Linked DNA regions of Arabidopsis thaliana. The protein of the gene in region 3 purifies or fractionates together with the protein of the main gene of each other region. This does not show direct contact. Each region holds a gene or a part of one and is shown on either strand. Other genes may lie near its edges.

The links.
Region 1: the proteins of AT3G02360 (region 3) and AGD2 fractionate together in Arabidopsis thaliana (co-fractionation; one large-scale study listed by BioGRID). This does not show direct contact.
Region 2: the proteins of AT3G02360 (region 3) and GSA2 fractionate together in Arabidopsis thaliana (co-fractionation; one large-scale study listed by BioGRID). This does not show direct contact.
Region 4: the proteins of AT3G02360 (region 3) and AT1G72810 fractionate together in Arabidopsis thaliana (co-fractionation; one large-scale study listed by BioGRID). This does not show direct contact.

The regions. Positions count from the first base shown.
Region 1 is NC_003075.7:16,169,956-16,178,079, forward strand, and holds AGD2 (Pyridoxal phosphate (PLP)-dependent transferases superfamily protein), read right to left. Parts: upstream 4,769-8,124; 5' UTR 4,676-4,768; coding exon 4,593-4,675; intron 4,355-4,592; coding exon 4,278-4,354; intron 4,160-4,277; coding exon 4,092-4,159; intron 3,897-4,091; coding exon 3,780-3,896; intron 3,496-3,779; coding exon 3,433-3,495; intron 3,221-3,432; coding exon 3,116-3,220; intron 3,031-3,115; coding exon 2,980-3,030; intron 2,879-2,979; coding exon 2,558-2,878; intron 2,483-2,557; coding exon 2,276-2,482; intron 2,186-2,275; coding exon 1,892-2,185; 3' UTR 1,726-1,891; downstream 1-1,725. Other genes in the region: AT4G33670 (NAD(P)-linked oxidoreductase superfamily protein), read right to left, coding at 1-64, 547-846, 931-1,159, 1,322-1,491; AT4G33690 (G patch domain protein), read left to right, coding at 5,243-5,411, 5,506-5,788, 5,894-6,182; AT4G33700 (CBS domain protein (DUF21)), read right to left, coding at 6,592-6,636, 6,711-6,982, 7,062-7,177, 7,251-7,324, 7,451-7,538, 7,648-7,787, 7,874-7,960, 8,053-8,124. UniProt on the Arabidopsis thaliana protein: Required for lysine biosynthesis. Catalyzes the direct conversion of tetrahydrodipicolinate to LL-diaminopimelate, a reaction that requires three enzymes in E.coli. Not active with meso-diaminopimelate, lysine or ornithine as substrates.
Region 2 is NC_003074.8:18,047,900-18,055,261, forward strand, and holds GSA2 (glutamate-1-semialdehyde 2,1-aminomutase 2), read left to right. Parts: upstream 1-1,671; 5' UTR 1,672-1,797; coding exon 1,798-1,974; intron 1,975-2,232; coding exon 2,233-2,406; intron 2,407-2,483; coding exon 2,484-3,128; intron 3,129-3,228; coding exon 3,229-3,651; 3' UTR 3,652-3,879; downstream 3,880-7,362. Other genes in the region: DCF (HXXXD-type acyl-transferase family protein), read left to right, coding at 536-1,396; SWEET11 (Nodulin MtN3 family protein), read right to left, coding at 4,915-5,202, 5,749-5,868, 5,964-6,125, 6,228-6,438, 6,542-6,578, 6,713-6,764. UniProt on the Arabidopsis thaliana protein: Transaminase converting glutamate 1-semialdehyde (GSA) to 5-aminolevulinate (ALA). Involved in the biosynthesis of tetrapyrroles.
Region 3 is NC_003074.8:479,146-486,692, forward strand, and holds AT3G02360 (6-phosphogluconate dehydrogenase family protein), read left to right. Parts: upstream 1-2,630; 5' UTR 2,631-2,910; exon of another isoform or gene 2,911-3,141; intron 3,142-3,332; 5' UTR 3,333-3,352; coding exon 3,353-4,813; 3' UTR 4,814-5,007; downstream 5,008-7,547. Other genes in the region: GAUT9 (galacturonosyltransferase 9), read left to right, coding at 103-273, 410-1,648, 1,758-2,033; AT3G02370 (tRNA-splicing endonuclease subunit), read left to right, coding at 5,600-5,691, 5,800-6,189, 6,273-6,408. UniProt on the Arabidopsis thaliana protein: Catalyzes the oxidative decarboxylation of 6-phosphogluconate to ribulose 5-phosphate and CO(2), with concomitant reduction of NADP to NADPH. Required for guided growth of the male gametophytes and interaction between the pollen tube and the ovule.
Region 4 is NC_003070.9:27,396,434-27,404,435, forward strand, and holds AT1G72810 (Pyridoxal-5'-phosphate-dependent enzyme family protein), read right to left. Parts: upstream 4,042-8,002; 5' UTR 3,961-4,041; coding exon 3,349-3,960; intron 3,266-3,348; coding exon 2,327-3,265; 3' UTR 1,841-2,326; downstream 1-1,840. Other genes in the region: AT1G72790 (hydroxyproline-rich glycoprotein family protein), read left to right, coding at 1-100; AT1G72800 (RNA-binding (RRM/RBD/RNP motifs) family protein), read left to right, coding at 833-1,840; AT1G72820 (Mitochondrial substrate carrier family protein), read left to right, coding at 7,024-8,002. UniProt on the Arabidopsis thaliana protein: Catalyzes the gamma-elimination of phosphate from L-phosphohomoserine and the beta-addition of water to produce L-threonine.

The DNA.
Region 1 (8,124 bases), on a different chromosome or scaffold from region 3:
GAGCTAACTTTGTGATCTTCTTGCCCTTTGATTTGCAGTGAGCAACTGCGGCTTTGCTTGCAGACTACATAAGACAATAAAAGCAGCAACGGGTTATGACTTTCATATTTGAGAACAATTTGTTAAGAAGTCAGTATCTTCGTTTACTTCTCACTAAATCAAAATATCAAACAGAGAACAAACCAAAACTAACTCAAGAGCATCCCCTACTCTTCCAAACATCAATTCAACTAAATACCAGCGTCCATGTGAATCTGTTTAATTTTCTACTGAATACTCATCAAAGACCAACTAACATGTTAATACCCATTGGGAACTATCTGAAGTGTCTCTAATCTTGCCTATGAAGACTAATCACAATGATTGTACGAGTTAAGAAACAAAGATTGTCAGTCTCAGAAGTATAGCATCTATAGAATTTAACCTGCCTATGCTCGAGAGAATGCTGCACGAATGGCGTTTTAACACTAGTCTCTTATACGGTGTATCAATACAAGTGCTACAGAAATGTTAACAAGAATCACATTCTTTTGTAAAATGCCAAACCTTGAGCTCAGGGGAAGCAGGGTGCCATTCAGGAGGACCTTGTTCTGTAAGGAGGCCCATTGCTAATGGAGAAGCACTTATCACACCCACACCTTTGCTCTTCAAGTAAGGTAGTAAATCCAGCAACGTCGAATCATTAACGCCGTAATGACAGTATGACAATATCACATCGACAGTCCCTGGAGGCACTCGATCAAGAACATAAGTGAAAATATCTAACGGAAGACCAGTGATACCAATGAACCGGGTCTTCCCCTCTTGTTTCAGTTTCTGAAGAGCAGGAATTGTTTCACTCACAATCTGGCAGCAATGAATGAACACTTAGTAAAGGTTTGAGACACAAACAACGAAAGTGATAAACCCAAGAGAAATAAAGTGGTAAACCTGATCAAGAGACCCGAACTCAATGTCATGGCAATGAAGTATGTCAACATAATCAAGCTGAAGCCTCTCCAAGCTCTCGTCAATACTCTTTCTTACTCTCTCAGCACTGAAATCAAAACCTTCTTTATATCTACCACACTTAGTAGCCACAATGTAGTCACTTCTAGGGACTTGCAAAGCCTTTAGTCCCTTACCAAGCATTTTCTCAGACAGTGTTCCTCCATAATACCTTCACACACACAATAAATGCCAAATAAAAAAGTAAATATGAAACCTTCCAATAAAAATTTTGACTTTAACGATTAAATTAGTCTCAACATTCAGAGAATCAGCAATTAGTATTGAAGAATCAGTAATCTTTAGAAAATATAAAAGAAGAAGAAGTGCTTACGGGGAGGTGTCGAAGAAGTTGATACCGAGACGGAAAGCCTCGCGCACGGTGGCGACGGCATCATCTTCGGCGACTGGACCGAAGACACTTCCGAGCGGAGAGGCACCAAAACCAACGGCGCTAACCTTAAGCCCTGTGTTCCCCAAAGCTCGAAGCTCTATTTTCGTCATTGTTGATAGGATCAACAAAAAAACTGGTTCTCGTTGATGAGAGACGCGAGAAGACAACACTTGTGTTGTGTTTTTGGATATTTTTGCCCACACGGTGGCTCAACAAGCCTAAATTACGAAAACACCCATCCCGGTCCAATTTTAGATTTATTTAACCAATCCAATTTTATATTTTTTTGACGTTCTTCCTCAGTCCAATTTAAATATTTTATTTTCCACACTAGTTCACTTATTTGCACTTTGATTTCGTTGTTAAAATACTTTGCCAAATTGCTTGAAACACTGGTGTCAAAAGTGTCTTCTACAAATTCCAGAAAACAATGGAAACGACATTATTTTAACTCAAATCATGTCATTAAAGAGGGTGATGATGATGAGGAACGATTACAAACAAGGTTCTTCATTTGTAAAGCTGCTTGAATCTTCGACATGCCTCTAAGATGTTCTCTCTGTGACCAAAGGCACTGACACGAACGAACCCTTCACCCCCTGGTCCAAACCCACTTCCTGGAGTTGTAACCACATGAGTCTTCTCCAGAATCTCAGCAAACACATCCCATGAGCTTTGGTTCGGGAAGTGAACCCATACGTAAGGCGCATTCTTTCCTCCATATACATCATACCCGAGAGATGTGAATGTGTCAATGATTATGTTTGTGTTTTCTTTATAGAATCCAATCACCTTATGCATTGCCTGCAATGATTCAAAAGACAACAAAATAAATCATTTTGCATATCTGAACTAGTGGGAACTGGTTTGAGATCTCTCTTTAGCTAAGCTAACCTCAAGTCCTTCGGGTGTAAGGCAAGCAAGAGCACCAGCTTGAGAGATATTAGATGCACCATTGAAACAAGTGCAGATAATCCGATTGAAGTCTTTGGCAACAGGGAAACCGTCTGAATAGAGTAGCTTTTTCGGGATGACAGTCCAACCAAGTCGAACTCCAGTGAAACCAGCATATTTGCTGAACGAAGCTGTCTCCATAGCGACCTGTAAGCGGTTGTACACATGAAGAAAGATGTTGAAAAATGGACCTTTTAATGTTATAATCAATCAGTCTATTACCTCCTCTGCTCCAGGGATTTCGAAGATGGATCGTGGGTTATCATCAGACATGTACATTGCATAGGCGGAATCATACACTATTATAGAACCGTTCTTCTTTGCAAACTCAACTAACTGCGTTAGTTGCTCTCTCGTGGCAGCAGCACCCGTAGGGTTATTTGGGGAACAGAAGAAAATTATATCTGTCCTGCCAACGGTGGACAAGTCGGGAAAGAAGCCATTCTCTGGAGTGCATCTCATGTACTCGATGTTTCCATACTTTTGCACATCAGTGTTAAATTGCCCAGTCTGACCCATAATAACACTGGAGTCCACATAAGCCTGTATAATCCAAAAAAAACGAGACAGCATAGTTCCACGTTAAAATGGAGCAAAAGTAGAGAAGACTACAACTGCAATTTGGTTTCTATATGCCCAATTACCGGATATGAAGGATCCTGAACAGCAATTGTAACATTGGAACCAAACATAACCTGCAAGAAGTGGAATCAAGAAACAGCTGTTCATATTTCTTAATCTTGTATCAATTACAGATGAATAGTCAGCAATAAAACAAACCTGGAGACGTGAGATATCACATTTAGCTCCATCAGAAACAAAAACGTCATCATCCCCTATGCCAAGGCCACCGTAGAATGTTTTCGCAATAGCAGCTCTCAGTGGCTTTTCACATATGTGAAATCAAGGTTAGTTTGGATAAAAACTTAACAGATTAAGCTTTAAGATTTTACATGTAAGAAACAGGTTTAAATCCATCTTCTCTTGAATTTAGCAGCAGTTCAAGACTATCCATAATAAAATTGAAGTGACGTGCAAAGGCAGATAATAAAGAAATGATAACAACGCAATAAGGTGGAAATGAAGGGTGCACTGACCTTTGCACCTTGTTCAGCACCATAACCACTATATCCCTCTATTGTTGACAACTCATGAGCTTTCTGTCAGAGAAAAAAAACATGATTAATCTCTAGAGATTACATGCCTGTGTGAATAGTATAGCAAACAAAAAAACTATGCTACCAGAATAATTTTCATTGTTAGATTACAGAGAAGTTCTCGTTTAATAATCCAAATACGCCAAAACAGAAAATATGTTATACATTTTTGTCAAAATGAACGAAATAATACATGTTAGGGCAGTGTTAGTAAAATCAGTTTAAAATATGCTAGAGCCCAGAGAAGGGCAAAGAGCACATGAAGCTAAGTTAAGATAAGGAGGTACCTTTGCCATAGCAGAAGTGATCACTTCAGGAATTGGCTCAGTTGTGTCGCCTATTCCAAGACTTATAACTTGTGCATCTGGATATTTCAACAAGTGTGCAGACCTTCTTCTTGCAATCTGTTTGCATCCACACAAAAAAATAAGAGAGAGGAGCATTATATACAGAATCAATGAGGATATATTAACTTATTACACAGATAGTTATAATATTTCAGATCACTAGAAGCTTTCAAAAATGTTAACTTGAAATGCCACTCCTTTAGGTATTTGAAATCTTAAATAGTAGTACCAAGAGAGTAACAGGTAACAAACCTCCGGGAATAGGTATCCAGCCTGAAGTTTGGACATGTTTGAATTCCGTGACACTTTGGTCTTATACTCTACATACAGAAAACAAAATCATGTATTGTAAGAAACAGATAAACAGCTAAAAGACGATAAATCATTAACTATGTTACTAATCATTACAGCAAAAACAACATGGAGTAGGAACATTACCGATCTTCTCTTGCGGCGTAGCAACACATTTGCAAGTATTGACCCGTTTTGCCATGGGTAAGCAAGCATTTCGAGTTCTGAAGCCAAAAAGGAAAGCAAACCAATAAAAAAATGAATCAATGATCATCACAAGCAAATGCACTGTTCTCTGGCCAAACAACACCATCCAACATCGACTTAAAAACCAAAGGATTGAAATTTCCAAGTAAATTCATAACATACAATTAATTTCTGGAAATGAATCCAATTTCATATTCATCCTCACTAGATTATATCAGTAGCAAACAGAGAGTAAAAGAAAACAAAACGACGCACCTGAGATTAAAATTTGAAGGGGCTAAGAAAGTGGATGAGGAAGAAGAGATCATCGAAGAAACTAACTGATGGGTCGACGACATTTTTCCTGCTTCGCACAAAGATTTTTTCAGACAAATTTGCAGAGCAAATGAACCATGGGAGATAGTTGGTGAGACTGATAAAACTAGGGTTCTTCTTCGGTTTGGTCTGAGAGGAAATTAATCCGGTTTGTTCCGGTTCGGTTTTACTAGAAATTTTTGGGAATTTTCCAATTCAGTTCAATTTATTTATTTCTCTCTCTGGCTCGGACAATGATTTTGCTCTGCGCCTGCTGGAAAACGCCGAGGAATCGCACGATTTCGTGAAGCTGCTACTAGATATCTGTATCTGAGTCAATTCGATTTCGTGGTAATTAATCTCGACCAATAGGGTTCTCCAAAAATCCCCTTTTCGATTGTTGTGTGTTTACGTAATTTTGTTTGTTTTGCTTCGTTGATTTCGTTGTCGAAAGAACGTAGCTTTAGTGGAAGTTCTGTGATTAAGAAGCAATGATTTAGATAGCTGTAGTGGTCGAATTAAGTTCAACTCCATCTTTGTTTGATCTACCCAGATTGATTTGATCACATAACTTGATTAGGCTTATACTTTTTTGTTTTACCTTGGAGTAGATGGATCTGGAAACTGAAAATCGAATAGCTTCCATTCTTTTAAGAGAAGCAGCAGAATTGAGGAGACAAGCTGAGAAAGATGGCGTCAGAGCATATCTTGAGAAGCCTAATGTAAGGCATCGACCTAACTCTAGATTTCTCACTGCTACAGTTCTTGGTGTTCAGCAAGGTATAATCTTTTGTTGACAGACTTTGCTTCTATCCAACAAAATCTAGTTTTTTTTTAGTTTATCTCTTATTTGTTTCTTCTTTATTCCATTCAGCAAACAAAGCTGTGGAAACCAATGAGATGTGGAGTCTTCGGAGTAAAGAGATTGAGTTTGGTGAAAGGCTCAAAAGAAAATCAAGAGATGAGAGCAGCAATGGTCAAAGTGAGCAGAACAATAGGAGGGATTTTTTAAAGAGATGTACTTCAGTTGATGAGAATGTTACTACTACTAGTTTATCACCATCATCAAGCCGGAGCAGAAGCAAAAGATGGCAATCAGAGGATGATGATGATGAAGGCTTAGGAGATGTCGAGGTTAAGACTTTTCTCCAATCAAGGTATTTCCATTATACTCAGATGCTGCCTGATTATTTCCTTTACAATAATGATCGAATTTGGGATCGGCTTTTGCTGATAAAACTTGTGATTCTGGTCTATGATAGGGTCAAGCGTGGCAGAGGTTCTGTTGGTGCTATGATGGATGAACCGCTACCCTGTCTTCCTGAGAGGGAATTGTCAAGAACTTCTGATACAGGAGATCGGAAGCTAGTGATTCAGCCAGAGCGATCACCTTTATTGAGACGTAGGACAGATTCTTCTTCTTCCGACGAGGAGGAAGTTTACAAACGGGCTCATAGAAAGAGAAAGGAGCATAAGAAGAAACTTAGTAAGAAACACAAGTCAAAAGAGAAGAAAAGGGATAGGAAGAAGAGAAAATATGGTAGGGACTAGATCTTTCCGGACAAAAGTAATTGCCTTTTTACACCGGCAGTGATGTTGTATCCATAAGATGATCATATTTCATTAATTCTTGTATTAGTAAAATGCGAATAAAAACTCTTTGAAGTAAGGTAGAGAGTGACATATCTTAGAGACTAATGATATATAGGTAGTAGAGACAACTATTGGTGTGGCCTATGAGGGTTCAGATTTGGTAAAACTCTTTGAAGAAAGGAGAGAGCGACATATCTTAGAGACCAATGATATATATATAGAGAGAAAACATCTTGAAACCATAGAAAAAGTTGTTGTTCATGCCTACATTGATACACATTCGCCGGACAAGTGACAGTTTGAAAGTTGAAAACAAAGACTAAAGTTTTCGACATTCATAACCAGTTCAGTGGTCATGCACTCTGTGTTAGGAGTCTTCAAAATGGTGATCAGTTTCGTCAAAGATCTCCTCCTGCAACCACAAGCCAAGCAATAATTAATCCGTGAAAAAGAATTTTTGTTTTTAACTTATATAAGATTCCTTACCTGCAGAAGTTCTTCAATGACATCCTCCATCGTAATGATTCCGACTGCTTCTTCTTCCTCAGCAAGTTTAGGCAGCGGATTGCCATTCAATTGCAGGATGTCTGCATCATTGTCTTTTGACCACTTCTTGCTCTTTGACCCTCCTTTAAACGAACTTGCTCGATTCGGAAAGCTCTTCCACTTTTGAAGCGATCTTTTTGTCCTTAACATTCTCTCCTGAGGAGTAGGAGTTCCCTCACTATCCACATCCACTCGGGCTTCCTTAACACTCCCTATTAGAAACCAAAGCAAAGATTCTCAATACTTGTAACTCAGCAAGACATTGTTTTGTCGATTAATGAAGCAGTTTACCATTTTTAGAAGGTAATGGGTGGATTTTGTCACACTGTCTTACAACAACAGCCATGTGGCTGAGTCCTTTCTGGAATTCGTTCAATATGTCATATAAAGGCAAGATTTCTGGAACTCTAAAACAAAGCAAGAAATCAGCTTTTGAAGCACATTCAGTGGGGCTTAGTTACTTAGATTTGGAAGTTTCACCTTGGAATCCTTCTTATCGTGACATTCTTGACAGGTATTTCTTCATCTGGGTTGATAGTTAATAAGTTCTTCACCTGAAGATAATAGATATGAATGGTTAGAAGTGGAACCATAACACTAAAGAGGAAAATATTTGTGAAAAATGACTTCACAGAGAAGCGAGTCAAATTGTGGAAGTAATGCATGAGACTGGGAGTTACCAGAACAAGGCCGATTATGTTAGTTGGCTGCTCATAGTATACTGGAACTCTGCTATGCCCTTTCTCAAGAATCAAGTTCATCAAGTCTCTATACCAGAGGAACAAAGAAAAGAAAAGTGTTTAGCATGAGAAGTATAAAGACTCCAGGCAAGTGTGTTTCTGATAAGTTAGGTCTCCAAGGAATCACAACACAAAACCTGTCTAGTTTGGCATTGATATCAATCACAAAGATATCCGATATTGGTGTCATTGCATCTTTGACCATTTTCTCAGAGAGTTCAAGAGCTCCTGCAATGATTGTCGTTTCGTCATGAGTCAACTCCCCACCCTTTCCAGCCTGAAAGAAACAATACACTAAACATCATGACATAGATAGAAGGGGTACATAAACTTTTCAATATGGAAGATGGGATCAATGCATACCTCATTTCCATGAAAATCCACAAGTGTTTTCAGCTCAGCTCTTCGAAAAAGCGCTGCACGACGATGACCCAATAGAAAGTCCAGCAACTGGATTATTCAAAGGAGCAAAAATTTATTATAACAACGAGCATGATTGGTGGGGGCACTGGCTCCTACGGAAATCGGTAAAGTGTTTTTACCTTGCTTATTGGCCATGCAACAGGTAAGCAGATAAAGACTAGGACACGGACAAACGGAGCCACTGTTGCACC
Region 2 (7,362 bases), about 18 Mb from region 3:
CTGTTAACCTATTTAACGACATGACTCAAATGGCAAGTCAACAAACACTTTGTCATTTATTTCGAAAGTCAACAAAAACTTTACGATTTATTTATCTTCCGTGAAGTTCAAAATTAAATCGTCCCAAATTTGAAAGACATTTTTCCCGAATATCATTTATGAATTATGATACAATGTTACTAAAAAAATCATTTTTATGTCTCATGCATGTAGTAACGAACACACACTAATATAGTAACAAATGATCAGACGTTACTCTTAAAAACTAGAGTGGTCATCATGTTCAAACTTTAAGGTACATTAGACCATCTAATTAGAACCATGCGTAATTAGTATTGTTAAGTAACCAAAAGAAATAACGACGATCAATAGTAAGTTTTTTTTTTTTGTGTGTGTAACCAATAGGTAGTACTTAAGTTAAATGTATATTATTTCATTCCTATTTCTTTAAATTGGTATCGATTCATTCTAAAATGTTGCATGGATTTTTTTTAACATCTTTAGATAAAGTTTTATGTTCCGTTTTTTTTTTCAGGTGACAAATTTCAAATGTGGGGGTTTTGTCCTAGGACTAGGCATGAGCCACAACATGTTCGATGGAGTCGCCGCTGCGGAGTTCCTCAACTCGTGGTGCGAGATGGCCAAGGGTCTTCCTTTATCCGTCCCACCATTCTTGGACCGTACGATTCTCCGGTCACGAAACCCTCCCAAAATCGAGTTCCCACACAATGAATTCGACGAAATTGAAGATATTTCCGACACCGGAAAAATCTACGATGAAGAAAAACTCATCTACAAATCATTTCTTTTCGAACCCGAAAAGCTTGAGAAGCTCAAGATCATGGCGATTGAAGAAAATAACAATAATAAGGTATCAACATTTCAAGCCTTAACCGGGTTTCTTTGGAAATCAAGATGCGAAGCTCTACGGTTTAAACCGGACCAACGGGTTAAGCTTCTGTTTGCGGCGGATGGACGGTCAAGATTCATCCCACGTCTCCCGCAAGGATATTGCGGGAACGGGATTGTGTTAACCGGTTTGGTGACATCATCGGGAGAATTAGTTGGGAACCCTCTTTCTCACTCGGTGGGTTTGGTCAAGAGACTGGTGGAGCTGGTTACGGACGGCTTCATGCGGTCGGCTATGGACTACTTCGAGGTGAACCGGACACGGCCGAGTATGAACGCGACACTTTTGATTACATCCTGGTCAAAATTGACATTGCATAAACTGGATTTCGGTTGGGGAGAACCGGTTTTCTCTGGACCGGTTGGTTTACCAGGGAGGGAAGTGATCTTGTTCTTACCAAGTGGTGATGATATGAAGAGTATCAATGTGTTTCTTGGCCTTCCTACTTCAGCTATGGAAGTGTTTGAAGAGCTTATGAAGATCTGAAAAAGAACATACATTTTCATAATCAAATTATGATATATTCTACCAAATTATAAGCAAAGGAAAATTATAATCTAGTCATTATTTATACATGTTATATTTGAATTCACGTTTGTATCCATTACAAAAATTTATGTAATTCGCAGAAAATATATATATGTCAAATTAAGTTATCGGACCGGATCGGGTCAAAGAAACCGGATTGGTTAACAAAGTCAAACAAACAAATATTGACTTGAGTTTCAGATTCCAGTAAAATCAAACCGGATCGGGTCTGAATTTAAACCACCGGGTCGGCTCCATCTAAAATCTGAAGATCATCTCCGCCTTATCTTGTTGACTATCTCTGTACTACTTACGAGCGCAAGTGAGAGAGTAACAGAGAAACGTAGAGATATAGCAAAATGGCTGCGACGCTTACTGGATCAGGGATTGCTCTAGGGTTTTCGTGCTCCGCAAAGTTCTCTAAGAGAGCTTCTTCGTCGTCCAACCGTCGCTGCATCAAGATGTCGGTTTCGGTAGAGGAGAAGACGAAGAAATTCACTCTTCAGAAATCTGAGGAAGCTTTCAATGCTGCGAAGGTTAGGCTTTTCAATTTCCATGAATTCAGTCAATAAGAAATGTTTCTTCAGATTGATTACGCCTTGATGTTCTGTTGCTTTGGTTTTGTGGGATTTGATCATATTTTTGGTTAAAGTGATTATCTTTGTTACCCTTCAAGGAACATTGCTAACAAAATAAGATTACTTGAGATAGAATCATAATCTGAGATAAAGTTTTTGTTTTTATTGGTTTCATTCTGTTCTGATTATTGAAATTGGTTTGGTTCCTTTGTGTAGAACTTAATGCCTGGAGGTGTGAACTCACCTGTACGTGCTTTCAAATCTGTTGGTGGACAACCAGTGGTGATGGATTCTGCAAAGGGCTCACGAATAAGAGACATTGATGGAAATGAATACATTGACTATGTTGGATCTTGGGGACCTGCTATAATTGGTCATGCTGATGATGAGGTTTGTTTCTTTCCAGTTTTGATGATTTTTAGATAGCTGAAAGTTTAGTAGTTGATACGGTGATGTGTCTAGTGCAGGTTCTTGCTGCTTTGGCTGAGACAATGAAGAAAGGAACAAGCTTTGGTGCTCCTTGTCTCTTAGAGAATGTTCTTGCTGAGATGGTGATTTCAGCTGTTCCAAGTATTGAAATGGTTCGGTTTGTTAACTCCGGTACAGAGGCATGTATGGGTGTGCTACGTCTTGCTCGTGCCTTCACAGGGAAACAAAAGTTCATCAAGTTTGAAGGTTGTTATCATGGTCATGCAAACTCTTTCCTTGTCAAAGCAGGTAGTGGTGTAGCTACTTTGGGTCTACCTGACTCGCCTGGGGTCCCCAAAGCAGCTACTTCAGATACTTTAACAGCTCCATACAATGATATTGCTGCTGTTGAGAAGCTTTTTGAGGCAAACAAAGGAGAGATTGCTGCCATCATTCTTGAACCTGTTGTTGGTAACTCGGGTTTTATTACACCTAAACCAGAGTTCATTGAGGGAATACGCCGGATCACTAAAGACAATGGTGCTCTTCTTATTTTCGATGAAGTCATGACTGGTTTTCGTTTAGCCTATGGTGGAGCTCAAGAATACTTTGGAATCACACCTGACTTAACAACTCTTGGGAAAATCATCGGTGGTGGTCTTCCTGTGGGAGCATACGGTGGAAGAAGAGACATCATGGAAATGGTAAAGCTAGAGTTGTTAACAATTGAACCGAATAATCTTTTGAATTTGCTGCAAGAGATTGAGAAAGTCCTGATCCTTTATCACTCATGTCTTTTTGCAGGTTGCACCCGCAGGACCGATGTATCAAGCTGGTACGCTAAGTGGTAATCCGTTGGCTATGACAGCGGGTATACACACGCTGAAGCGGTTAAGTCAGCCAGGGACATATGAATACTTAGACAAGATCACAAAAGAGCTTACAAATGGGATACTAGAAGCCGGGAAGAAAACCGGGCATGCGATGTGTGGCGGTTACATAAGCGGGATGTTCGGTTTCTTCTTCACGGAAGGACCCGTCTATGATTTCTCGGATGCAAAGAAGAGTGATACAGAGAAGTTTGGAAAGTTTTTCAGAGGAATGTTGGAAGAAGGTGTCTACTTGGCACCTTCTCAATTCGAGGCCGGTTTTACTAGCTTGGCTCACACTTCAGAAGACATCCAATTCACTATCGCAGCGGCCGAGAAGGTTCTAAGTCGGCTCTAAAATGTCTCTGGAAGCTTCCAGGGAACCATGAATGTATTTGAAATTTTTTGATGTAGAGAAAATTAGATTCAATTGAGAGCAAGCAAGCAATCTCACAAAATTTAACTGTGGTAAGAAAAGTCAAAATGTCTATGAAGATTTGTTGACTTTTTAAAAAGAGTTCTTGCTTTGCGTTAACGTCTTACAAATCACACAGAATGATTTCTATTGCAACACACTTTTTCATCATGTAGCCAACATCATAATCTGAGTCATAAGACGATATATTTCTCCACGGAACAAGGGAAGTGCATCTGCAAAGTTAAGCTTCCATATTCAGTTTTCTTCACATTTCTATAGATTCCCTTGCCCATTTATGTCTTTGTCCGACCTAAGACGACCTAGAAAGTGGATACACAGTCCATCCAACGAGAAAGTTTCACTAGTCTCCTACTTCCCAAGGTTACGTCTTTCATATGTTTAGTTGCATTTTTCTTTCTTCACATCTTTGCTTCTAGCTGTAGTTTGTTCAATCCAACCGACCGAGCTGCTTTTCATTGTCTTAAAGAATGAACAAGAAACATCCTGATGATTATGTGAAGATGTTTTGGAGACCAAGCTGATTCGAACTTTCTTTCTAATTCGGACACAATTGAGTTGGAATTATTTGAAATTGGAAAGGCCCAGTAAGGAAGTGATCCAATATTACTTGCCTTAGACAAAGACTTGGCCCACTCAGTCCATACAAAATATTCCTTTTTATTTATTTAAAAATATGAATACTCCTTGACTTAGGCCAATCAAAATTTATAATTGATATTTTTTGTTAAAAGAATTTATGATTGATAATGCCAATATTTTCTGTATTGAAACATTTTTTAAATTTTTCTATTTTTTGTTTTTTTTGGTTATATCCGAAGAGTAATGTGACCACGTTAATTCTCAAGTCAAATATTATCTTTCATAATTAGAAAACTTTATCGTATATTATTAATATTATGTCCTTAAAATAAACAGAAAACATTAAGTATGACCAAAAAAAAAAAAGACAGAATCATGATGGATATTTTAAATAGTTTTCGTTAAATCAGAAAATAGGAAATATACATTATCCCCAATAGATAATTACACAAATTTTTATAAAGAAGTAGAGAAACTAACTCCGGAAAATTAATCCTCTACTTCGCACACTTGATAAACTCAGAAAAATACGACAGCGTAACGGGGTACACGTGGTGGTTGGTATATCAAGTTGGGGTAAAGTCAACATTAACGTATTTTTATTCATGTAGCTGCTGCGGAAGAGGACTGCTTGCCATGTTTAGGGGTTTGTCCATCTTCAATCTCAGCCCTTCGATCATTTCCGCAGGTACACTTGTTCGCTTGACGAACCACTGAGATTGGCTCAGGGGATGAAACTGTGCCTAGCTTCAACATATCGAGGCTCACCTCCGGTAACTTAGCAGCTTCGACTTCTTTCTCTCCTAGATGCGGCGACGTTTTACAGTATTTGTAGACAACGTAGAGTATCATTTGGAGTGCACCGAGAGCAAAACCAAGCACATTCGGGAACTGCACGAAAAACATTTGTTGTAGTGGCAATAACATAATAACATTTTAATATACTCACTTTTCCACTTTCTAGCTTGTGAATAAAGTACGTTAAAAACGAAATAAAGTAAAGTTTATGGCAAACTTGTGCGGCATCGATAGAAGTTACGTACAAAATATAATTTCTATGTAACAATAAAGATAAAAAGAACTTAATATATTATGAACTTCTTTTGCAAAAGCTAAATCTTTTAATGTTTCTGTGGAACATAAAGCGAGAGTTTCTTTATAATTTGGTTTATTTTTATCGTAAAGGACGATACCAAACAAAAGGTTTTGCTTTCATTAATCGTTTTTTTTATCTTTTGCCAATCCATATCTCTTTTTATCTATGAATCTATGATTAGAACCTCAAAGTCTCAGGTTCATTAGAAACAAAAGCACCCACTTCATGTAATATACTGTTATGATAATGATAGACATATGATTATGATGCTTGACGACATGATAATCATGTTAAAACATATATATTCATTATAGCAAATAGAGAGAGATGAAATGGCTTACAGCAACATAGATGTCCTTGAGAGCAAGACCATAAAGGAGCCATATGACAGCACTGATGGTAAGGGTTAAGGATAAGCTAAAGGGCATGTACTCCACACTTCTTGTCTTTATTACCGTCCTCTATATATAATTAAACAAAAATATATATGTTAATTATTATTGTTACCAAATCATAATTTAATCACTTGGTAAATTAGCTATTTCGTAGTACTTACGATTATGCTTAGAGGAGCAGCGAAAACACAAACAGAGAATCCGACACAGATTCCTCCGATAATCTTAGCACGTGTGGCTCCTTTTACCAAGAATTGGCAAAGAAGGAGAATCGCACAGAATCCTCCAAAGTTCATAAGAAGTAGCATCTTCACTGTCAACATCTGCATCCATTAAGAAATGTTTTATTTAGCAACTTCATTTGAATAATGTTATGAACAACGTAACATGCATGTCATATGAACTGAGGATTAATTATTAGTTACCCGAGCTGGCTTGGGAGCGTAGGCAAGGAACATAGAGATGTAGATGGTTTCGATGAAGCAACCAAAGGCGTTAATGGTTACGAGGAGGAAGACATCTTTCTTCTGTGTCGCATAGTAAAGCCAAAGCGTCGCACTGAAGAGCGCCACAACATAAGGAATAGACTGAAACCCTTCTGTTGTCTTCTTCTTCCAAATCCTATAGAACGTTGGCCTGCGTCCAAAAAAAAACTGAATATTAGTTACTCAATTATATCGGAGAATATTGATGTAACGTAGTCATATATATTCTGATTTGTTGCATATATATTACTTACACAGGAGATAGGAACACGGCAAAGGAGATAAGGTTGCCTGAAAATTATACAAGAATATAGCAAAAATATGATATTAAGAAATCGATATTAAATCTCTAGAATTTAGATATTAGGGTTGCAGAACTTGATCAAAAATATTCATAAGAAATGAACACAACGTTAGTATCATACCGAGCAAGCCAAAGACAAAGGCCCATGTGTTTTCAGTGTTGAAGAGACTCATGGTATATAAGTTGTTAGGAGAAGGAAGAAGAAGAGAGATAGCACTTAGTTTTGCAAGTGTTTTCTCTTAATGTAAAAGCTAATGGCACGAGCTTAGTGTTTCGGGGACTTCACGTATATATAGGGGTTAGGGCTAAAGGGAGGAATGGGGTTTGTGTGGGAGATGGAAAAAGGAGAAATGTTTGTGTGAACAATAATATTTTGAATAATGTTTGAATTTCTTATTTATTTTAAAAAGCGTTAATGTCATTGTAGTTGTATAACAAAAAAAGACCCGCAACAATAATTCACACGCTAAACCATTACCAAATCATATACATTTTGACGTACAAATAACAATTCTGTTACCAAATAACCTTTTTTAGGTTTTGGCTTAAGAAATAAAACATAATTAGTTATGTTAATAATGCTTGTCAATCTCAGCTGTTTAGGCAAGCTATTTTCTTAAGGATTATGTCTAGATTCTACGTATGCATCTCTAATTCTCTATATATACAATGACATAATTATGACCTAATCATTTTACGATTTTGAGGGTTTTCACCAATCCTATTATTTAACTTATTTACACAACGTAATAAGTATATTTGCCAACTTCG
Region 3 (7,547 bases):
GTCTTTGGGGAGGACAAGCAAGAACCTCACCGACGATTCCATACCAAACAAATTCCCGATCTGGAAACAACTGACCTGTGAAGGTGAAGTGTATCGCTGGAAATGGCGGTGGCCTTCCGTGGAGGCCGGGGAGGCGTCGGATCCGGCCAATCTACCGGACTTCGTAGTTTCTTCTCCTACCGGATCTTTATCTCCGCTTTGTTCTCTTTTCTCTTCCTCGCCACTTTCTCCGTCGTTCTTAACTCCTCTCGTCATCAGCCTCATCAGGATCATGTACGCATCTCTCAATCTCTGAGCTCCTTCTTTATTTCTCTGCTTTTGATTGATTTTGTAATTCGAACAAATTTAGAAATGAATCGGTGGCAATTTCATTGAATCTGAGCTTTGATTTTTGCTGTCTGGTTTTTAGACATTGCCGAGTATGGGCAACGCATATATGCAGAGGACGTTTTTGGCTTTGCAATCGGATCCATTGAAAACTAGGTTGGATCTGATACACAAGCAAGCCATTGATCATTTGACACTGGTGAATGCGTATGCTGCTTACGCTAGGAAGCTAAAGCTTGATGCTTCTAAGCAGCTTAAGCTCTTCGAAGATTTGGCTATCAACTTCTCGGATTTGCAGTCGAAACCTGGTTTGAAATCTGCTGTGTCTGATAATGGTAATGCTCTTGAGGAGGATTCGTTTAGGCAGCTTGAGAAAGAAGTGAAGGATAAGGTGAAGACAGCGAGGATGATGATCGTTGAGTCTAAAGAGAGTTATGATACACAGCTTAAAATCCAGAAGTTGAAAGATACAATCTTTGCTGTCCAAGAACAGTTGACAAAGGCTAAGAAAAACGGTGCGGTTGCTAGCTTGATTTCAGCCAAGTCGGTTCCTAAAAGTCTTCATTGTTTGGCCATGAGGCTTGTAGGAGAGAGGATCTCTAATCCTGAGAAGTACAAGGATGCTCCACCTGACCCAGCCGCAGAGGATCCAACTCTTTACCACTATGCGATTTTCTCTGATAATGTCATTGCTGTGTCTGTTGTGGTGAGATCGGTTGTGATGAACGCTGAGGAGCCATGGAAGCATGTCTTCCATGTGGTGACAGATCGGATGAATCTCGCAGCCATGAAGGTGTGGTTTAAGATGCGTCCTTTGGACCGTGGTGCCCATGTTGAGATTAAATCCGTGGAGGATTTCAAGTTCTTAAACTCTTCCTATGCGCCGGTCTTGAGGCAGCTTGAGTCTGCCAAGTTGCAGAAGTTTTACTTTGAGAATCAAGCTGAGAACGCAACTAAAGATTCACATAACCTCAAGTTCAAGAACCCCAAGTATCTCTCGATGTTGAACCATCTCAGATTTTACTTACCAGAGATGTATCCGAAGCTGAATAAGATTTTGTTCTTGGACGATGATGTTGTGGTGCAGAAAGACGTGACTGGTTTATGGAAAATCAACTTGGATGGCAAGGTGAATGGAGCCGTTGAGACATGTTTTGGTTCTTTTCATCGATATGGTCAATACTTAAACTTCTCTCATCCTTTGATCAAAGAGAACTTTAACCCCAGTGCCTGTGCTTGGGCCTTTGGAATGAACATATTCGATCTCAATGCCTGGAGACGCGAGAAGTGCACCGATCAATACCATTACTGGCAGAACCTGGTAAGTCCATTGTTTAACTATGTAATGTATGATTCTTCCTTAGTAACCTAGACATGTCAAAGCTCTTTTAGGTACTTATCTTCTGTTGGTTCTTATGTTTTCCGAGCAGAATGAAGACAGAACTCTCTGGAAATTGGGAACTCTACCTCCGGGATTGATCACATTCTATTCAAAGACGAAATCATTGGACAAATCATGGCATGTACTTGGGTTAGGCTATAACCCGGGAGTGAGCATGGACGAAATCAGAAATGCAGGAGTGATTCATTACAATGGAAACATGAAACCGTGGCTAGACATTGCGATGAACCAATACAAGTCTCTCTGGACTAAATATGTTGATAACGAAATGGAGTTTGTGCAGATGTGCAATTTTGGTCTCTAAAGAGAGAACGATGAAAACAAACAAACCGGAAAGAGGAAAAAATAGGGAGAAGAGGTAACCTCGGATCGATGTGTTTCTGTCTTTCTCGGCATTCTTTAACTGATGATACGTTTATCTTTATATAGGGTTACAAAAAAAAAGAAGCATTTTGCTTGTTATTTCTGTCATAGTTTTGGTCTTTATTTTTATTTTGTAAACTCTTCACAGCAATATGTTCTCCCAAGCTACAATGTCTTGTTGTCTTTATTTCATACTTGTCTGCCTTAAGAATCATATAGAAGAAACTCTAAAGGTTTTTTTTTTTTTTTTTTTTTTGAAACTCTAAAGGTTTGTTCTTCCCTTTCTAGAATGCTGCATAATACAGGTAGGAACGTATAAAGTGTAATTGCAAAAGGATTTGGTTTGGTGATGAATTAGGATTCCGTTGAAGTGAGAATTCACTATTTGGGTTTACCCCGGCTTAAATCAAATGTGATGTGTAAAACGAGTTTGGTTTTCAAGTTTTCAAACAAAAACACACAAACACACGGTATTTGAGGAAAGACTATATATTTTCTCTGTATGAAAATCAAATTCCAATGACCAATATGATGTCAAGAGAAAACAATTCAAGATCCAACGACTACTACCACCCACCCTTTTCTTACCTAACGCAGGAGTGGCCAATTTTGACAATACTTTAACAACAAAAAAAGGGAAAAGGAGAAAAAAATATTATTACTTTGGTAGCAGTGGTGCGAATCAGACCGTTCATTTGCTATATATCTGCTACAAACAAACATCACTAATCTCTGCAATTTTTACTCTCCTCCTTCACGTCTTTTCCTCTTAATTTTTTCTAGGAAAATTCTCAAATCCATCTCCGCGATACGAACAGGTTTGTTTCTCCGATCATACTCTCTCTCTTTTTGTTTTTTCCCCAATCAATTTTGGTTTGGTATCTGATTGTTCCAATCACTTTTCGATATAAATGATGTGTACCGAAATTTCAGAAAAAATTATTTAACTTTTATGTGATCCAGCATTTTTGTGTGATTCCGTTGAAAATTCCCATTATGTTGTTTAGATCGGTGTTTTAAGTAATCGAATCTTCGCTCTTGTTGTTAGTGTATGCCACGATCGTGATCTTTTTTTTTTTTTGAGATTTGTCATGTTGATTTATTGATTCTGTGTTCGAAGATCTTGGGGATCTTATTTCTGGTTTGTATCGTTGCGTTTATTTGAGATCAATCATGCATGAATCTGTTTTGTTTTACATACATCTTTCTTAAATTTGTGATGTATTTATTTGTTTGGCAGAGAGAAGAAGACTTAGAAAAATGGCTGTTCAACCTACAAGAATAGGTCTAGCTGGACTTGCTGTGATGGGTCAGAACCTAGCTCTCAACATTGCAGAGAAAGGCTTCCCAATCTCTGTTTACAACAGAACTACTTCCAAAGTTGATGAGACCGTCGAACGAGCCAAAAAGGAAGGCAATCTTCCTCTTTACGGCTTCCATGACCCCGAGTCTTTTGTCAAGTCCATTCAGAAGCCACGCGTTATTATCATGCTTGTTAAGGCTGGTTCTCCCGTTGACCAGACCATCAAGACCCTCTCTGCTTATTTGGAGAAAGGTGACTGTATTGTCGATGGTGGTAATGAATGGTATGAGAACACTGAGAGGAGAGAAAAAGCCGTGGCGGAGAACGGTTTCCTCTACCTTGGAATGGGAGTTTCTGGTGGTGAAGAAGGTGCTCGTAATGGCCCATCTATGATGCCTGGAGGCTCTTATGAAGCCTACAAGAATATCGAAGACATTGTTCTCAAGGTTGCTGCTCAGGTTAGGGATAGTGGTCCCTGTGTGACTTATATCGGTAAGGGCGGGTCTGGAAACTTTGTCAAAATGGTCCACAATGGGATCGAGTACGGTGATATGCAGCTGATTGCAGAAGCTTATGACGTCCTCAAGTCTGTTGGTAAATTATCGAATGAGGAGCTTCACAGTGTCTTCTCTGACTGGAACAAAGGTGAGCTTGAGAGTTTCTTGGTAGAGATCACAGCAGATATTTTCGGGATCAAGGACGATAAGGGAGATGGGCATTTGGTTGACAAGGTCTTGGACAAAACCGGCATGAAAGGCACAGGAAAGTGGACCGTGCAGCAAGCTGCTGAGCTATCTGTTCCTGCTCCCACCATTGAATCCTCTCTTGATGCGAGGTTCCTTAGCGGGCTTAAAGATGAACGTGTGCAAGCAGCTAAAGTCTTCAAGGCAGGTGGGTTTGGAGATATCTTGACCGATCAGAAAGTTGACAAGAAACAGCTAGTCGATGACGTGAGGAAGGCTCTTTACGCATCCAAAATCTGCAGCTACGCACAAGGCATGAACCTTATCCGTGCCAAGAGCATAGAAAAGGGGTGGGGATTGAAGCTAGGTGAGTTAGCTAGAATCTGGAAAGGAGGCTGCATCATCAGAGCAATCTTCCTAGACAGGATCAAGCAAGCTTATGACAGGAACGCAGAGCTAGCTAACCTCTTGGTGGATCCAGAGTTTGCGAAAGAGATAATCGAGAGACAGTCCGCGTGGAGAAGAGTCGTCTGCTTAGCTATCAACTCGGGTATCAGCACACCGGGTATGTCTGCGAGTCTAGCCTACTTTGATTCTTACAGGAGAGAGAGATTGCCGGCAAATCTAGTCCAAGCACAGAGAGACTACTTTGGTGCTCATACATATGAAAGGACTGATGTGGAAGGATCTTTCCACACCGAGTGGTTCAAGATTGCAAGACAATCTAAGATCTGAGATCTCTCATCCTCTTGTATTCTTCTTCTCCTTCAATAATAAGTTCCACACAGTATGTTTCTTTCCTCAATGTGTGAGATACCTTGGCTTATTTATGATTGTAGAACTGAGTTTCTCATCTTTGTGTTTCTTTTTCTTAAAAAGATTAAAACTGAAGTCTTTGGTTATAATTTTTTACTTTTGGTTTCATTGACTCCTTTTTATTTGGGTGTTTATGCGATGGGCTTAGTAATTTGGTCGGCCCATATAAACTTTTCCGACAAAGTAAGTAGATACGTCATCATTCTGCCATTAAACGTCATTGCAATTATCTCGTCTCCAGCAAAACGGGAAATCAAACTTCCGATGATCGTCGTCTCCCCGTTGGGAATAATTCGTTCGCAGGGAGTAACTCTGTTACCGAATTCTCGTACGGCCTGCGAAAGTTGAAGACTTTAACAAAATATATTTTTACCTTTCGCCAAGTGTTCGACGAATTGCCTCAGCGACTTCGTTTCCTCTTGAACGACTGAAACTGATCTCAGCAGCTATGGAGGAGAAAGACTGGGAAGGTTCTCCGCTGAGTGAAAACGAAGCTGGTTTACTATGCTATGATGACGAAGAATATCAATTTGGTGGTCCAGCTCCCAAATTACAATTCAGGTGGAGAGACTTGATTCAGGATATGATTGTCCGTGTTAAGCTAATTGTTCTTAGTTCTTACAATCAATTTCTTTCTTTTTGTGCTTGCAAATTATAGAGTAGGATCCTCCAAGGCTCGTTGGAATGCTGAATTAGGATTTAGGAATGGCCGAAGTTGAGGTCAAAAGGGGTAAACTTTGGACGACAACTGGAATTATCCGTACCGGAAAAACATATTGCTTCATAGAAGAGGCTCTGTATGTGGCAAACGAAACATTACAAGTTTGTTTTTAAAGATTGCAGTGTTTACTCAAATCACCTGATGAAGTTTCTTCCTTTTTCGAATTGTCTTCTTTCTGATGCAGGTATTTGAGTGAAATTGGAGAGTTGCAGCTCTTGGGTGATGAGGATGACGTAGTGATTTCATTGAAGGACTTGTATGGGGAAATAGCGGAGGGAAAATATGGCTGCTGTTGGGAAAACTACGAGGTTTATAGATACTTAAAGGGTCTTGGTTACATTCTAGGCAGACATGGAGTTCCTTGGACTACAAAATATGCTGTGAATACTACACCAAGTGATGAAGATGAGTCACTTTGTGCTGCAGAATTTTTCCAAGACAGAGACTCTGTTACCAAACTCCTGAGTGATATGCATATCTGTGATGCAAGACCGGTGTTTGATGTGTATTTGCCAAACAGCCAGTTCAAGAAGTCTTCTCCTGGTGAACCGAGCTTTGTCACTTGCTTCTCGGGGTAAGCTGTTTTCGTTACTTCAAACGACAAAAGCAAATTTTCTCATAACAAGTCTTAGTCAATGTACTCTATCTTTTGTACAGAGACTCTCCACCAAGTAAAGAAGAAATTAAAGTCCTGCAAAAGTGCATAGTTTCACCATTGATGTTCTGTCATATCGCTCAGGGCCGTGCCACTTTCTTTTCCTTCAATTCCATAGACCTCCTTGTCTTACCATAAATGTGAGAAAAGAAAACGGAATGCTCTTGTGCCATCAGACAAAGGTGACAAAACTGAGTGACTGAGAGTTTGCATACACTTGGAGTGACTTGGCTGACTCATTGATAAGGTAATATGTACAACTTTATGTTTTCTACCGGCATAATAGGAATTGTAAAGGGATCCAAAAATATGATTGACAAAAGCTTCCTTGAATGAGATTTTTAAGGCATATGTTTCTTAATTATCTCTCTATAACTCACTTTGTGCTACATCATGATTTTAGTCTCTCAATTTTCTTCTTTGGTCATCTGCCATTATTATGTGAATGCAACTGCCAATATCTTTGATTTGCAACCCTGATCTCTAAACACGTTAATCTGATAATCTAAGAAGTAGCTTCAGTTAGACACTTTTGGATCAGTGGCTCGATGAAAATCCGCCTGTTTTGTGGTCCATAGTAAGAGGAATCTATGGCGCTCTAGTGGAGTGTGGCTTGCTTGAGCTCTATGCAACTGATGAAAAGAGTTTTTGCTTTTTAAAAAGTCTGGAAGACGCTTTTACCATCCCTTCTCAACTTTATGGCTGGGACTCTTTTTAAGTTGATCAGGAAAAGTGCAGTAACCTTTTTGGAAAGGGTCGTCACTTTGATACATTTCACGTGAGGTCTCGATCCCATTACTATATAGTATATACTGTATTAACTCTCAACTAGGTCTTATATTAGTTTTTATTACTTCTTATATGTCTGACGGTTTCTATGATTCCACTTAGACTATCACTCACTTTTATATAAATCTTATGATGTTATAGGAAAATTGTATACGATGCAGAATTTCGTAATTTGTCCCACTATTGCTACATTTCATTTCAAGTTACAAATTTAGGTTGTGATGTAAGCTCTTTATTTTGGTTAAGTAATCACTGTTTTCAGATCTCTCATAACTTAGGAAATAAATACAGTACTTTTGCTACACATATAGGTTGTGATGTATAATTGAGAAGAAAAAAAAAATAGGTTGTGATGTATAATAATGTTGAGCTCTGTGAACATTTCCAGATGGGAAACAGTAAGGCTTGGTTAAATGTCGTGCTTTCTTTTTCGTTGCTCTATCATCCTTTACTGTCAGCACATACCATAAAAAGTGAGAAAGTATAGT
Region 4 (8,002 bases), on a different chromosome or scaffold from region 3:
GATGAACTCTGTGAAAAGAGGGAGATCCAATTTAGGACCCGAACCCGGACTTCATGAATCCGGATCTTCAACGGGTTATAGGCCCAGCCCAAGCGTATAGAGGCTATTTCTTTTAGATTTTGGATTTTTGGATTACTACTGTGTTGGTTTTTTTTACCTTACTTTTGTTTAGACTTTCTTATACGTAATTTTGTGGTGTATACAATTCCTAGTATCCGTTTTTACAGTTTTTAGCCCATCTTGGGATGAACCAAAAAAAATCTCTATACAACTAGTTTTTCTTGTAATACTCTCCATTTTTATTTTATTTTGAACTATGTTTGGATGGAGAACTTATAGCTTTGAAAAATATATTCAATATTTTTAGAAAAAAAAGAAAAAAATACTATAGCTTTAATTTTATATCATCAAACAAGAAACAAATTGATAGGTATTTATAAATATTTAATTTGATTAACTCAACTTTTTAATACACAGCCAATTGAAACCCCACTTCTTTGCCTTTTTTAGTCGATTCCACTTTTTTTTCCCTTCTAAATTAATGAAAAAACTTTGTTAACAATAAAATACATAATTAAAAAAACATTTGTAATAATTTAATAATTTATCAAAAAAATAATAATATGGCGGCAATGTTGCGTTACAAAAACGCCATCTTTTATGTAATTGTAACCTAATAACAGCAACGTGACGATGAACCACCACCGAGTTGCGTTAGAAAAACGCCATATATCTTTTATGTAACCTAATATATATATCTTAAACAACAGGCTTGGATTATTGTCTCTCGAAAACCTAAAATCGCTCTTTCTCTTTTCTTGTCATCTTCTCCATGGCTGAGTCTAGCAAGTTATCCGCAACCACAGTTGAAGCAGCTCCTGCTATGATTAAGGCCAAAGACGTGATTTCTCCTTCCGAGAAGGAAGAATCTGATCAGACGGAGATCACGAAAGTATCCGTCTTGAAAAACCTTGATGAGAAGGAGATGATCAAAGAATTCGCTGATCGTCTTCAGCGTCTCGAAGCAAAGGTGGATTTGTTGGTAACAAAGGCGGATTTGTTGGCAATAAAGGCGGATATACAGGAGCTTCTCATCTCAGCCAAGGGTGAGAAAGTTCCTGCCATGAAGACTTCTGCTAAGGCTTCTTCTGAGAGCGATGACTCATACATGGACACTTCTTCGGAGGATGAATCGTCTTCTGCTGAGGAACCTGTAAACAAACCTGCTGCAAGTGCCGCCAAGCCAGCTACTAAAGATTCTTTATTCTCTGCTGGTTTCAAGCCAGCTGCTAAAGATTCTTTATTCTCTGCTGGTTTCAAGCCAGATTCTTTATTCTCTGCTGGTTTCGAGCCAGCTGCTAAAGATTCTTTATTCTCTGCTGGTTTCAAGCCAGGTTCTTTATTCTCTGCTGGTTTCGAGCCAGCTGCTAAAGATTCTTTATTCTCTGCTGGTTTCAAGCCAGATTCTTTATTCTCTGTTGGTGTCAAGCCAGCTGCTAAAGATTCTTTATTTTCTGTTGGTGTCAATGGTCGATCGTTCTCTGTTACGGGATTTGACGCTTCCCTTCCTGTGGATGATATAAAGAGCGCATTGAGTAAATATTTCAGTTCTTTTGGGGAGATCACACGCGTATTTGTTCCCCCAAGCCACGGAACCGGTGGTTCCTTAGGATATGCTTACATTGATCTGAAAGAAGGAGCAGAGAAGGCGTTGGAACTTGGTAGACATGACGTGGGAGGATGGGATCTTGTAGTTGGTAAGGCTGAACCGATTCGCAGTGGAAGTACTTGGCCTTTTCCTGGCCGTTGTGGTAATCAGGGCCGTTGTACCTTCTGTTGAAGGCTTGAACCTTTGGTAGTGCATGAAGGAAGAGACTGCTCGTGGAACTAGATCACCTAGTTTTACTCCCTAAAGTAAGAAGACTACCTAGAAGAAGAGGAACGTTTTAAATTTGTATTACTTGGGAGTTTTTTCTTATGTTCTAGTTAAGTTTTTGACCCAATGTTAATGTTAACTCAATTTTGAGTTCTTTTGGTTTTAAATAAGATGAAAAAAATTCTTGAAGTTAATTTTCTAGATAAGTTTATTGTTTCTTAAAAGATTTAAAAGAAGAGGTTAAAAGACAGGTCGTGAGTACTTTTGTTAAGAGCATATGTAAAACTCAGTAGTAGTTTGATATGAAACAACTAGCGAGCATCACGGAACCAACCAGTCGTTTTATTCCACAAGTCCAAAGAAACGAAATTTCATTACTTCCTCTAATAACAAAGCCAACAATATCATCATAGGACGTGAAGAGCTTTAGAAGAAACAAACACACAAAGCTTATTTATCATTGCTCTTCAAATACTCCTTGAGAACATCCATAACTGAACCAAACTTTGCCTTAACCTTCACTGGTGGATTCGCCAATCTACAAGCCATCTCCTTTATGTTCTTAGAATGATAATCAATCTTACTTTGTGTAAACTTCAATCCATGAGCTGTACTCACCACCACAGTCCGATCATTCGCTCCAATAACTCCTGACTTTCTCAGCTTCATCAACGCCGTCAATGCAACACCAGTATGTGGACATATAAACATACCAGTAGAATCAGCAAGAGCTGTTGCATCCATCAACTCTTCCTCTGTAGCTTCCTCAACAATCCCATTAGATTTCTTCAACGCATACACAGCTCTATCAATCGAAACAGGGTCACCAATCTGAATAGCAGAAGCAAATGTAGTGTTTGCTTTCAATGGATTGAAATCTTCTTTAAACCCAGATTTGTAATGCAAGTAAAGTGGATTTGCATTAGCAGCTTGAGCACAAACAAGCCTAGGGATACGATCAACAAGACCTAACTCTTTACACATATGAAACCCTTTGTAAAACGCATAGATGTTACCAAGATTGCCTCCAGGAACAATGACCCAATCAGGAACTTGCCAATTAAACTGCTGCAGAATCTCAATCGCCGCCGTCTTTTGACCTTCGAGACGGAGGCTGTTGAGAGAGTTCGCCAAGTAAATAGGAAGCTCCGCCGTAACTTCTCTGATCAAATGCATACATCCGTCAAAATCAGTGTCAATACTAAGCACAAACGCTCCGTTTGCAATCGGCTGCACAAGCTGAGCCATGGAGATTTTATCCGCAGGTAAGAAGACAATCGAGGGGATTCCAGCGGAAGCACAGTAAGCAGAGAGAGCAGCGGAGGTATCTCCAGTAGAAGCGCAACCAACTCCGATGACTGGTTTGTTCATTTTCCGGAGACGATTCACCTGAGAAACAAAAAAATAACATAAAGTTGTAAACTTTATTGAAGATGGTTATACAGTTGTAAACTTTATGAAAGATGATTCACCTGAGAAACGAGAACACTCATGCCCAGATCTTTAAAGGAGCCAGTGTGGCTGATTCCACAATGTTTCACCCAAAGATCGTTCATTTGCAGATACTGTTTACCAAATCTCTCAGCCCAGAAGAGATTTGAGTTTCCTTCAAAAGCAGAGACGATGTCGTCATCGTCGATCTCGGGGAGTACCCACTCTTTCTTCGACCACACGCCTGATCCGTACGGCCAATTTGTTTTACCGACGCGAGAATCGAAAAGGTTACGCCAGAATTCTCCGTCGTAGCGTTTCAAGGCGGCGAAATCATGCTGGACGTCGAGGAGAGCACCGGATTGTGAACGGTAGACGATCTCGTCGAGGGAGTAGGATTCTGTTGAAGAAGGTGGAGCGTTGAAAGGGACGTAACGTGCGGAGAGGTTTTGGAGTTGATGAGGACGGCGACGAGCTTCGTCTCGAATGTTCTCATCGGGTGAACGACGGGGTTTCTGTGGAGTCTGTGGAGGAACGGCGGGAGAGGCGGAGGTGCAACGGACGGTGAAGGAAGCGGCGGAGTGAGGTTTAAGTGAGGTTTCAGAGTGGGAAGGAAAGTAGGTGGCGGAGTGGGGAAGAGAGAATGAGGCCATTATGAGTGAGAGAGAGAGTAAAGTGAAGAGTTTGATGATATTGATTGGATAGAAGAATGATTGTTGACACCTTTAGTCACAAGTCACAAGTAATTTATTTATAACCTAATAAATATTGGGACGAAAGTATTCATTTATTGTTTGTTTTTCATTTGTCATTCCAATTTCCAAATTATGTATATATCTCTCTAGTCATGAATTTTCTTTTGATGGTAGAGAAAGCACCAGGGAGAAATGAATCTTTGACGTTCATGAATCTAGTGTGAATTTAGTGTTTAAGATATCAAATATGCAAAAAAAAAAAAAAAACACGTATGTATGGAGTACATGAGACATGTGCCACACATGAAGTATATTCTTATGAGTAAAATGTTACTATTATTTGTATGGATTATTAGTCATGAATTTTCTTTTGATGGTAGAGAAAGAAGCACTAGGGAGAAATGAATCTTTGACATTCATGAATCATGTGTAAATTTTAGTGTTTAAGATATCAAATATGCAACAACAAAAAAAAACACGAATGTATGGACTACATGAGACATGTGCCACACATGAAGTATATTCTTATGAGTAAAATATAATGTTACTATTATTTGTATCTATTGTTCTTTGTTCTTCTAATATATATTTGTGATTTCGTCCCATTTTATTAATCAAATAAATATATTACAAGCGACGGAAACAAAAAATAAATAATAAATGTCACTATCTTTTTGTCATTTTAAAGGACAAAAATAAATAATGAGATGAGACTATGAGAGCAACATTCATACAAAGTAGACGACACTTCATAGTTCATATTAATGTATATAGGTATGGAGTTTATGATCTTAACGTTTTTGGAAAAGAAAAAGAAAGTAAAGGACACCACTAGTTATGGGTCCTCCTTTTCGTCACATTGGGCGGATTGGGTCAAATATACAGTCATTGTGAAAAACCAGCCCAATAAGCTTATACTTCAAATAAAAGACTTGAATTAGAATTGATTCAAACTCTGAATACCTCAACTAACCGTTGTGTGTTCTCTCTAAATTTGGGTAATAGTGTTTTGGGGTTTGGGAGAGAACGACACAATAAATGAGAAGGGATCCCTTTTCTGTATTTTAAAGCGTTTTGATAGGGAACTTGAGAAATTTGATTTCATGATTCGTGTACTTTTTTGTTATGTTTGTGACTCGTGATCTTTTGCTCGATAAAAGCTTTCCATAGTTTTTGTTGGTGCTTTAGTCTGTGGAAACTGCTTATGATTTGGTTCTTTTATCTCCAAGTTGTGGGCTGAAATAATGGTCATCACCAGTTGATACAGAACCAACAGTGTTGTTCGTCACTCAAGCCCATCACAGCTATAATGTTCTTTTTGGAATCAAATCACATGGTTGGAATCAGTCTAAGCTTGTCTACTCACTTTAACATCTAATCTGTTGAAGATAAGGATTAACGATGTAATAAGTAAGCGTGGACCGAAAAAGAAATGTAGTATATGTTTAGGTAGTGGGCATTTCCAAATACTATAGTATTGATTTCTGTTGTATATTTGATTTGATACTAAAATATGTGAAACTCCCAAAGCTAATTAATACTATATTTTTGTAATCAAGTTATGTCAGTAAATGATACAACGACAGAAAAATGATTTCTGTTGGTGTTTGGTAGTATCATACTATTGTCCAAGGACCACCACTGTTCCTATAAATTTAGCATCTCTAGGAGGAACTCTGATAAATCTTTAGATTCTTTTTTCATAAAAAAAAATATAGCTCGAACGATAGTGGAAGTGTAACAGTGAAAAAGAATCAAAAATCACGTGACAGATCACGTGCCTCTCACACTGCCTTCTGCTCTCTTCTCTGCCCAACGACCCAAGGATATGGACGCCACGTCATCTTATCCAAATCACAAAAGCGGATCCATTTTCTCTCTCCTCTGTTGGGTCTGATCCGAGAACAAGATCTTAGCCGTTGTTTTCGATGACGACCTTTTAGCTTTTTTCTATCTCTGCCGTCGATCTTCTTCGTCTTCTAAGAGTGCTCCCAGTTTGTCGCTTTCTTTATCCGTAAGAGTTTAAGACCTTAGTCATGAGTGACACGTGTCACCTGCCAGCATCTGATTTTTACCAGATCTTCCTTATTTCCTTAATAAATCCTTTAATATTCGATAAAAAAAAATCTGTAATTCAATCTTAAATTAAGCAAACCAATTTGCACATCGTGATCATTTTCTGATTACATTTTGCACAATATGGAAACAATATAAAATCCATTGATGATACACTTAGTTGAATCAAAAACTAAAACATTTCCACTTTATTTGTTTCGGTTAGGTCAATTTTAACCGGTAAATTTGAAAACTGTAAATGGCATTTTGTTACATAGAGAAATCAGCTAATCGAACCGGAAAATGCAAGCCGGTTTATAATCTATACCGGTATCTCAATTTGGTATATTTACAGGGGGAAAAAAACCGGAACCCTAGACTCGCTCGTAACAGTATAACTGTATAAGGTCTCATTTTCGTGTGCTCTCGTCGCGATTACTCTCTTTGAGCTCTCTCTCTCTCTTCTAACATCGGTCTTGTATTGGTGCTTATTGGATATCTCCGGCGAAGGAAACGAGTTTCGCGGTTAGATTTTTCTTTATCGCTTACCGGCGAGGATGATCGTTTCTTCGGTAAGGTCGATTAATCGGTTCTGTTTTCGAAGATGTTGTTGTTAGAGTTAGATCCGCATGGTTTTGGTGATCGTTTTGGATCGAAGACGTGGTTCCACAGACGCAAAAAATGCCGTCGTCTCTTGCTTTGAGATTTGGCTTCTGAAATCTTTCCTCTTTCGTTCTCGTTGAATCCTAATTTTTGTTTTGTCTTTTTTAGAAATTTTTGGTCTTTCTAATCCTGGGGATAGGTTACAGTCTCCGATTGTAAATAGAAATTTGCGGCGAGGTTAGGAAAAGTTGTACAGATAGAGATTGAGCTCTGAAACACATCTCAGGAACATTTTTTGTTCCTTGTTTAAAAAAGTTTTTTTTTTTGTGTGTGTTTCTCTGGGTTGGTTAGAAAGTGGCGAAGATGAATTTGGGTGCGGCCGAGGAAGAATCGGCTCAGGAGATTCATTTACCAGCTGATATCAATTGGGAGATGCTTGATAAATCCAAGTTTTTCGTTTTAGGCGCTGCTTTGTTTTCAGGGGTATCTGGAGCTCTTTATCCTGCGGTTTTGATGAAAACTCGGCAACAAGTGTGTCATTCGCAAGGTTCTTGTATTAAAACTGCGTTTACTCTTGTGAGACATGAAGGTTTAAGGGGATTGTACAGAGGATTTGGAACTTCTTTGATGGGAACTATCCCTGCTCGTGCTTTGTACATGACTGCCTTGGAGGTTACTAAGAGTAACGTAGGCTCTGCTGCTGTCAGCTTGGGGTTGACAGAGGCTAAAGCTGCTGCTGTTGCTAATGCGGTTGGAGGTTTGAGTGCTGCGATGGCTGCACAGCTTGTTTGGACTCCTGTTGATGTGGTTAGCCAAAGGCTTATGGTTCAAGGAAGTGCTGGTCTTGTTAATGCATCAAGGTGTAATTATGTTAACGGGTTTGATGCATTTAGAAAGATCGTTCGCGCTGATGGACCGAAGGGGTTATACAGAGGGTTTGGGATATCGATTCTGACTTATGCGCCGTCTAATGCTGTTTGGTGGGCGTCTTACTCTGTTGCACAGCGGATGGTTTGGGGTGGAATTGGGTGTTATGTCTGTAAGAAAGACGAAGAAAGCGGGAACAATAGTACCACGATGAAACCAGATTCTAAAACGATAATGGCTGTTCAAGGAGTTAGTGCTGCGATTGCTGGAAGTGTTTCTGCTTTGATTACAATGCCACTCGACACAATCAAGACGAGATTGCAGGTTCTTGATGGGGAAGATAGTAGTAACAACGGGAAGCGTGGACCGAGTATTGGACAGACTGTAAGAAACTTGGTTAGAGAAGGTGGATGGACGGCTTGTTATAGAGGATTGGGACCAAGATGTGCTTCAATGTCAATGTCTGCAACAACTA